Saccharomyces cerevisiae S288C: one gene and its partner. The protein of the gene in region 1 purifies or fractionates together with the protein of each later gene. This does not show direct contact. Each region holds a gene or a part of one and is shown on either strand. Other genes may lie near its edges. The genes, in order: YEF3 and TEF1.

The links.
Region 2: the proteins of YEF3 (region 1) and TEF1 purify together in Saccharomyces cerevisiae (affinity purification with western blotting, with the first as the bait; 2 studies listed by BioGRID). This does not show direct contact.

Annotation. Positions count from the first base shown.
Region 1 is NC_001144.5:634,621-640,525, forward strand, and holds YEF3 (translation elongation factor EF-3), read left to right. Parts: upstream 1-2,159; coding exon 2,160-5,294; downstream 5,295-5,905. Other genes in the region: serine/threonine protein kinase RCK2, read left to right, coding at 1-1,464; nucleobindin SSP120, read left to right, coding at 5,697-5,905. UniProt on the Saccharomyces cerevisiae protein: Ribosome-dependent ATPase that functions in cytoplasmic translation elongation. Required for the ATP-dependent release of deacylated tRNA from the ribosomal E-site during protein biosynthesis.
Region 2 is NC_001148.4:698,967-702,683, forward strand, and holds TEF1 (translation elongation factor EF-1 alpha), read left to right. Parts: upstream 1-1,627; coding exon 1,628-3,004; downstream 3,005-3,717. Other genes in the region: MRL1 (Mrl1p), read left to right, coding at 1-1,048; GRS2 (putative glycine--tRNA ligase), read right to left, coding at 3,148-3,717. UniProt on the Saccharomyces cerevisiae protein: GTP-binding component of the eukaryotic elongation factor 1 complex (eEF1). In its active GTP-bound form, binds to and delivers aminoacyl-tRNA to the A-site of ribosomes during protein biosynthesis.

The DNA of each region.
Region 1 (5,905 bases):
TCTCTTTCGGAACAAAGCGAGATTATCAGTGATATCCAGGATGACAGTACTGATGATGACAATATGGAAGATGAAATTCCGGAAAAATCCTTCCTCGAACAAAAGGAATTGATAGGTTACAAGCTGATCAATAAAATCGGTGAAGGTGCTTTTTCAAAAGTCTTTAGAGCCATACCTGCTAAAAATAGTTCTAATGAATTTTTAACTAAAAACTATAAAGCTGTTGCCATTAAAGTTATCAAAAAGGCAGATTTATCCTCGATTAATGGTGATCATCGTAAGAAGGACAAAGGGAAGGACAGCACTAAAACTTCTTCCAGAGATCAAGTCTTGAAGGAAGTTGCACTACATAAGACGGTTTCCGCTGGTTGTTCACAAATTGTCGCGTTCATAGACTTCCAAGAAACAGATAGCTATTATTATATTATTCAAGAGTTACTAACCGGTGGGGAAATCTTCGGCGAAATTGTTAGGTTGACCTATTTCAGTGAAGATTTATCAAGGCATGTAATCAAACAATTAGCACTGGCTGTTAAACATATGCATTCACTAGGTGTAGTGCATCGTGATATAAAACCTGAGAATCTTCTTTTTGAACCGATTGAATTCACACGCTCTATAAAACCAAAATTGAGGAAATCGGATGATCCGCAAACAAAGGCAGACGAGGGAATTTTCACACCAGGAGTTGGTGGTGGTGGAATTGGTATAGTAAAACTAGCTGATTTTGGTTTGTCTAAACAAATATTTTCCAAGAACACCAAGACTCCTTGTGGTACAGTCGGTTACACTGCCCCTGAAGTTGTCAAAGATGAGCATTATTCTATGAAAGTGGATATGTGGGGGATTGGTTGCGTTTTGTACACAATGTTATGTGGGTTCCCGCCATTCTATGATGAGAAAATTGACACTTTAACTGAAAAAATATCAAGGGGTGAGTATACCTTTCTGAAACCTTGGTGGGATGAAATCAGCGCCGGTGCCAAGAATGCCGTGGCTAAGCTATTAGAACTAGAGCCGTCTAAAAGATACGACATTGACCAGTTTTTGGACGACCCATGGTTAAATACATTCGATTGTTTACCAAAGGAGGGCGAATCTTCACAAAAGAAAGCAGGTACTTCCGAAAGACGCCATCCGCATAAGAAACAATTCCAACTATTTCAAAGAGACTCCTCGCTACTGTTTTCACCAGCTGCTGTTGCTATGCGTGACGCCTTTGATATTGGTAATGCTGTGAAACGTACCGAAGAAGACCGTATGGGAACACGTGGAGGATTAGGCTCGCTTGCTGAGGACGAAGAATTGGAAGATAGTTACAGTGGCGCCCAAGGCGATGAACAGCTGGAACAAAATATGTTCCAATTAACGCTGGATACGTCCACGATTCTGCAAAGAAGAAAAAAAGTTCAAGAAAATGACGTAGGGCCTACAATTCCAATAAGCGCCACTATCAGGGAATAGCAACTTTCCCTTCTGTTTCAATCTTTTTACCTATTCCTTTTTAAAAGATATATATACATTAAACTCCTTCTACAAGTATATATTTTATACATATCTACAGGGCGTATATATACATAACATTTTAAGATAAGCAAGTGAATGTTGATTCCCGTTTCTTAGTCAACACTTCTTTCTATTTTACCCGGTCGTTACCCTATTAAAAAAACAACTTACAATCATTGTTCGCCCCTTCCATACTTACTGCCACTCGCAAAAGGGCCCAACCAGGGCAATTACGTATCAAAAAATCATGACAGGCTGGGTAATAAATATTCGTGAAGAAAGAAGAAATTAAAAAAAGAAACGAAGAAGCAAAAAAAAGAAAAGACTCCGTTTAATCACTTTCAACCGCGGTTTATCCGGCCCCACCCATGCATAACCCTAAATTATTAGATCACTTAGCACGTGAAAAAGAAACGTTTTTAATGTTTTTTTTTTTTTTTTCTTTTTCTTTTTTTGCGTTGGTGAAAATTTTTTCGCTTCCTCGAGTATAATTATCTCATCTCATCTTTCATATAAGATAAGAAGTTTTATAAAAACCTTTTGCATCAAAATTTTGTAGAATATCTCTTTTTCTTACGCTCTCTTTCTTTCCTTAATTGTTTTCTAAAGAACCGTGTATTTTTCTAGTTCGAATCCATCGATAACATTAAAAGATGTCTGATTCCCAGCAATCCATTAAGGTTCTAGAAGAACTATTCCAGAAGTTATCTGTTGCCACTGCTGACAACAGACACGAAATCGCTTCTGAAGTCGCTTCTTTCTTGAATGGTAACATCATTGAACATGATGTTCCAGAACACTTCTTCGGTGAATTGGCCAAGGGTATCAAGGACAAGAAGACCGCTGCTAACGCCATGCAAGCTGTTGCTCACATTGCTAACCAATCTAACTTGTCTCCATCTGTTGAACCATACATCGTCCAATTGGTTCCAGCTATCTGTACCAACGCAGGTAACAAGGACAAAGAAATTCAATCTGTTGCTTCCGAAACTTTGATTTCCATCGTTAACGCTGTTAACCCAGTTGCCATCAAAGCTTTGTTGCCACATTTGACTAACGCTATTGTCGAAACTAACAAATGGCAAGAAAAGATTGCTATTTTGGCAGCTATCTCTGCTATGGTCGATGCTGCTAAGGATCAAGTTGCCCTAAGAATGCCAGAATTGATTCCAGTCTTGTCTGAAACCATGTGGGACACCAAGAAGGAAGTCAAGGCTGCTGCTACTGCCGCCATGACCAAGGCTACCGAAACTGTTGACAACAAGGATATTGAACGTTTCATTCCAAGTTTGATTCAATGTATTGCTGACCCAACTGAAGTTCCAGAAACCGTTCATTTGTTAGGTGCTACTACTTTCGTTGCTGAAGTTACTCCAGCTACTTTGTCCATCATGGTCCCATTGTTGTCCAGAGGTTTGAACGAAAGAGAAACCGGTATCAAGCGTAAGTCTGCTGTTATTATTGACAACATGTGTAAGTTGGTCGAAGACCCACAAGTTATTGCTCCTTTCTTGGGTAAATTGTTGCCAGGTTTGAAGAGTAACTTTGCTACCATTGCTGACCCAGAAGCCAGAGAAGTTACTTTGAGAGCTTTGAAGACTTTGAGAAGAGTTGGTAACGTTGGTGAAGACGATGCTATTCCAGAAGTTTCTCACGCTGGTGACGTTTCTACTACTTTGCAAGTCGTTAACGAATTGTTGAAGGACGAAACCGTTGCTCCAAGATTTAAGATTGTCGTCGAGTACATTGCCGCCATTGGTGCTGATTTGATCGATGAAAGAATCATTGACCAACAAGCTTGGTTCACCCACATCACCCCATACATGACTATCTTCTTGCACGAAAAGAAGGCCAAGGACATCTTGGACGAATTCAGAAAGAGAGCTGTCGACAACATTCCAGTTGGTCCAAACTTCGACGACGAAGAAGACGAAGGTGAAGACTTATGTAACTGTGAATTCTCTTTGGCTTATGGTGCTAAAATCTTGTTGAACAAGACCCAATTAAGATTGAAGAGAGCCAGAAGATATGGTATCTGTGGTCCAAACGGTTGTGGTAAGTCCACTTTAATGAGAGCTATTGCCAACGGTCAAGTTGATGGTTTCCCAACCCAAGAAGAATGTAGAACCGTCTACGTCGAACACGACATTGATGGTACTCACTCTGACACTTCCGTCTTGGATTTCGTTTTCGAATCTGGTGTTGGTACTAAAGAAGCTATCAAGGACAAATTGATTGAATTCGGTTTCACCGATGAAATGATTGCTATGCCAATCTCTGCTTTGTCTGGTGGTTGGAAGATGAAGTTGGCTCTAGCTAGAGCTGTGTTGAGAAATGCTGATATCTTGTTGTTAGATGAACCAACTAACCATTTGGATACCGTCAACGTTGCTTGGTTAGTTAACTACTTGAACACCTGTGGTATCACTTCTATCACTATTTCTCACGACTCCGTTTTCTTAGATAACGTCTGTGAATATATTATTAACTACGAAGGTTTGAAGTTGAGAAAGTACAAGGGTAACTTTACCGAATTCGTTAAGAAGTGTCCAGCTGCTAAGGCTTACGAAGAATTATCCAACACTGATTTGGAATTCAAGTTCCCAGAACCAGGTTACTTGGAAGGTGTTAAGACTAAGCAAAAGGCTATTGTCAAGGTTACCAACATGGAATTCCAATATCCAGGTACCTCTAAGCCACAAATCACTGACATTAACTTCCAATGTTCTTTGTCTTCCAGAATTGCTGTCATTGGTCCAAATGGTGCTGGTAAGTCTACTTTGATTAACGTCTTGACTGGTGAACTATTACCAACCTCTGGTGAAGTCTACACCCACGAAAATTGTCGTATCGCTTACATTAAGCAACACGCTTTTGCTCATATCGAATCTCATTTGGACAAGACTCCATCTGAATATATCCAATGGAGATTCCAAACCGGTGAAGATAGAGAAACCATGGACAGAGCTAACAGACAAATCAACGAAAACGATGCTGAAGCTATGAACAAGATCTTCAAGATTGAAGGTACCCCTAGAAGAATTGCCGGTATCCACTCCAGAAGAAAGTTCAAGAACACTTACGAATATGAATGTTCTTTCTTATTGGGTGAAAACATTGGTATGAAATCTGAAAGATGGGTTCCAATGATGTCCGTCGACAACGCTTGGATTCCAAGAGGTGAATTGGTTGAATCTCACTCTAAGATGGTTGCTGAAGTTGATATGAAGGAAGCTTTGGCTTCTGGTCAATTCCGTCCATTAACCAGAAAAGAAATTGAAGAACATTGTTCCATGTTGGGTTTGGACCCAGAAATTGTTTCTCACTCCAGAATTAGAGGTTTGTCTGGTGGTCAAAAGGTTAAGTTGGTCTTAGCTGCCGGTACATGGCAAAGACCTCACTTGATTGTCTTAGATGAACCTACCAACTATCTGGACAGAGATTCTTTGGGTGCTTTGTCTAAGGCTTTGAAGGAATTTGAAGGTGGTGTTATTATCATTACTCACTCTGCTGAATTCACAAAGAACTTGACTGAAGAAGTCTGGGCCGTCAAGGACGGTAGAATGACTCCATCTGGTCACAACTGGGTTAGTGGTCAAGGTGCTGGTCCAAGAATCGAAAAGAAGGAAGACGAAGAAGATAAATTCGATGCTATGGGTAACAAGATTGCCGGTGGTAAGAAGAAGAAGAAGTTGTCTTCTGCGGAATTGAGAAAGAAGAAGAAGGAAAGAATGAAGAAGAAGAAGGAATTGGGTGATGCTTACGTTTCTTCTGACGAAGAATTCTAATCTTTTTGATCACTGCTTTCACAGTTTTCTTTAAGATTTTTATTGATCAATAATTTATGTATATTTTAATTTCTATGTTTTTGTAATATTGTTTATTTTGGTAAAATATAGACGCAACTTCCTTATTATAAAGAAAGGCATTATTTAAAAGAAAAAGCGTTCCATTAGTCAGACATCTTTTTTTTTCATACATTCTTAAGCTCAGGCAAATTGAGCATTGCCTCATACCCTTTTCGGTAAGAGGGTAACGAAAATATTTTTTTGGAAGAATAAAAATAGGTGACGGATCATAGACTAGGAAGCTTTAAAACATGATTGAGCGTAATATTATATTCCTTCTAGAAAAGATAAAAGAGCCAAGACCTAAAATTTTTTCATCCCTGTTCTATTAAAATTGTGGAAATGAGGTTTTTGAGGGGATTTGTATTTTCTTTGGCTTTCACTCTATATAAAGTAACTGCCACGGCAGAAATAGGATCTGAAATTAATGTGGAAAATGAGGCACCACCTGATGGTTTATCCTGGGAGGAGTGGCATATGGACCATGAGCATCAGCTAAAAGATTACACTCCAGAGACTTTCTTCGCGTTACATGATATCAAGAAGAAAGG
Region 2 (3,717 bases), on another chromosome or scaffold:
AGCCAATGAACATAGGGCTTCTCACAAGCAAAAAAGAACGTTAGCAAATCCGGATAAACCCAAAAGCGAAAACGATGAAGATCTATTTTGTGCGGTAACCAACCCAGTCACCGGATCATACATAGATCTATCACAGCTATCTTCAACTCCCAACAAATTAAGGGAGGGCCAAAAACAGATTTCTGGCAATAACAAGCATGAATCCTCCAAGACGAAGTGGTCAGTGAGAGGTTGGGGCTACGATACAAACTTCACGTTAGGCATCTGCTCTAGTCCTGTCGGAGAAGCTGAGTCGCAACAACTGTCCAATCTAACGGGCGCTTTTTACGTAGACCAGTTGAACGAAAATAATTTAGTATCGATTGGAGACTTCAGTACAAGGCCTGCGTTAGTCGGCGGCTCTACTGCCAAGAAATTAACTCTCAAATACGAAAACGGCTCTATGTGCCCGAACGGGAAGGACAAGAAGGCAACTTTATTGAATTTTGTCTGCGATAAAGAAATTCAATCAAAGGCCCAGATATCATACATTGGAAACCTACACAATTGCTCGTATTTCTTCGAAGTCCGCAGCATTCATGCGTGCCCCACCTCAAACAAAAAGAATGAAGTTAACGTTTTGGGTATCTTCATCGGTATCTTCGCTATATTCTTTTTAGTCGAATTTGCGGGGAGAAGATGGATCTATGCTAAACTAAATAGGCATTTGAAAAACGACGACGAGTTACACGACATATCGCCATCTTTAAATGAGCAACCACACTGGGACCTCATAGAGGACGGGTCTCGCTGGAGTAAATTTTTCAACGGGATAATTAAGACGACAAGAAGGTTCACGAAATCTTTAATGAGGTCTTTAGTCAGAGGCAGGAACAGCCGTCAAGGGGGCATAAGACTACGGTCATCCCCATCTGCCTCTTCGTCCAGCCTTGCCAACAGGGAGTTCTTCAGAGACATGGAGGCTCAAAACGAAATTATTGACAGCCTAGACATCAATAGTCATACAACAGAAAGCGACCACCCAACTTTGGCTGATAATAGCGTATAAACAATGCATACTTTGTACGTTCAAAATACAATGCAGTAGATATATTTATGCATATTACATATAATACATATCACATAGGAAGCAACAGGCGCGTTGGACTTTTAATTTTCGAGGACCGCGAATCCTTACATCACACCCAATCCCCCACAAGTGATCCCCCACACACCATAGCTTCAAAATGTTTCTACTCCTTTTTTACTCTTCCAGATTTTCTCGGACTCCGCGCATCGCCGTACCACTTCAAAACACCCAAGCACAGCATACTAAATTTCCCCTCTTTCTTCCTCTAGGGTGTCGTTAATTACCCGTACTAAAGGTTTGGAAAAGAAAAAAGAGACCGCCTCGTTTCTTTTTCTTCGTCGAAAAAGGCAATAAAAATTTTTATCACGTTTCTTTTTCTTGAAAATTTTTTTTTTTGATTTTTTTCTCTTTCGATGACCTCCCATTGATATTTAAGTTAATAAACGGTCTTCAATTTCTCAAGTTTCAGTTTCATTTTTCTTGTTCTATTACAACTTTTTTTACTTCTTGCTCATTAGAAAGAAAGCATAGCAATCTAATCTAAGTTTTAATTACAAAATGGGTAAAGAGAAGTCTCACATTAACGTTGTCGTTATCGGTCATGTCGATTCTGGTAAGTCTACCACTACCGGTCATTTGATTTACAAGTGTGGTGGTATTGACAAGAGAACCATCGAAAAGTTCGAAAAGGAAGCCGCTGAATTAGGTAAGGGTTCTTTCAAGTACGCTTGGGTTTTGGACAAGTTAAAGGCTGAAAGAGAAAGAGGTATCACTATCGATATTGCTTTGTGGAAGTTCGAAACTCCAAAGTACCAAGTTACCGTTATTGATGCTCCAGGTCACAGAGATTTCATCAAGAACATGATTACTGGTACTTCTCAAGCTGACTGTGCTATCTTGATTATTGCTGGTGGTGTCGGTGAATTCGAAGCCGGTATCTCTAAGGATGGTCAAACCAGAGAACACGCTTTGTTGGCTTTCACCTTGGGTGTTAGACAATTGATTGTTGCTGTCAACAAGATGGACTCCGTCAAATGGGACGAATCCAGATTCCAAGAAATTGTCAAGGAAACCTCCAACTTTATCAAGAAGGTTGGTTACAACCCAAAGACTGTTCCATTCGTCCCAATCTCTGGTTGGAACGGTGACAACATGATTGAAGCTACCACCAACGCTCCATGGTACAAGGGTTGGGAAAAGGAAACCAAGGCCGGTGTCGTCAAGGGTAAGACTTTGTTGGAAGCCATTGACGCCATTGAACAACCATCTAGACCAACTGACAAGCCATTGAGATTGCCATTGCAAGATGTTTACAAGATTGGTGGTATTGGTACTGTGCCAGTCGGTAGAGTTGAAACCGGTGTCATCAAGCCAGGTATGGTTGTTACTTTTGCCCCAGCTGGTGTTACCACTGAAGTCAAGTCCGTTGAAATGCATCACGAACAATTGGAACAAGGTGTTCCAGGTGACAACGTTGGTTTCAACGTCAAGAACGTTTCCGTTAAGGAAATCAGAAGAGGTAACGTCTGTGGTGACGCTAAGAACGATCCACCAAAGGGTTGCGCTTCTTTCAACGCTACCGTCATTGTTTTGAACCATCCAGGTCAAATCTCTGCTGGTTACTCTCCAGTTTTGGATTGTCACACTGCTCACATTGCTTGTAGATTCGACGAATTGTTGGAAAAGAACGACAGAAGATCTGGTAAGAAGTTGGAAGACCATCCAAAGTTCTTGAAGTCCGGTGACGCTGCTTTGGTCAAGTTCGTTCCATCTAAGCCAATGTGTGTTGAAGCTTTCAGTGAATACCCACCATTAGGTAGATTCGCTGTCAGAGACATGAGACAAACTGTCGCTGTCGGTGTTATCAAGTCTGTTGACAAGACTGAAAAGGCCGCTAAGGTTACCAAGGCTGCTCAAAAGGCTGCTAAGAAATAAGGAGATTGATAAGACTTTTCTAGTTGCATATCTTTTATATTTAAATCTTATCTATTAGTTAATTTTTTGTAATTTATCCTTATATATAGTCTGGTTATTCTAAAATATCATTTCAGTATCTAAAAATTCCCCTCTTTTTTCAGTTATATCTTAACAGGCGACAGTCCAAATGTTGATTTATCCCAGTCCGATTCATCAGGGTTGTGAAGCATTTTGTCAATGGTCGAAATCACATCAGTAATAGTGCCTCTTACTTGCCTCATAGAATTTCTTTCTCTTAACGTCACCGTTTGGTCTTTTATAGTTTCGAAATCTATGGTGATACCAAATGGTGTTCCCAATTCATCGTTACGGGCGTATTTTTTACCAATTGAAGTATTGGAATCGTCAATTTTAAAGTATATCTCTCTTTTACGTAAAGCCTGCGAGATCCTCTTAAGTATAGCGGGGAAGCCATCGTTATTCGATATTGTCGTAACAAATACTTTGATCGGCGCTATCTGTAATGGAAAAGAGAAGAAGCCTCTTGACTCACTATCCACTCGAACTTGGAAACAATGGTCGAAGATGCAGTATATGATACGACCTAAACCGAACGAGGGCTCAATGACATTAGGAATGTACTCTCGTATATGTTGCAAAGTTGTCTTCATTTTGATAGTAACCAAACTGCTATCTAGTTTTACGATCTGGCCATTTACTTGACAGGTAAA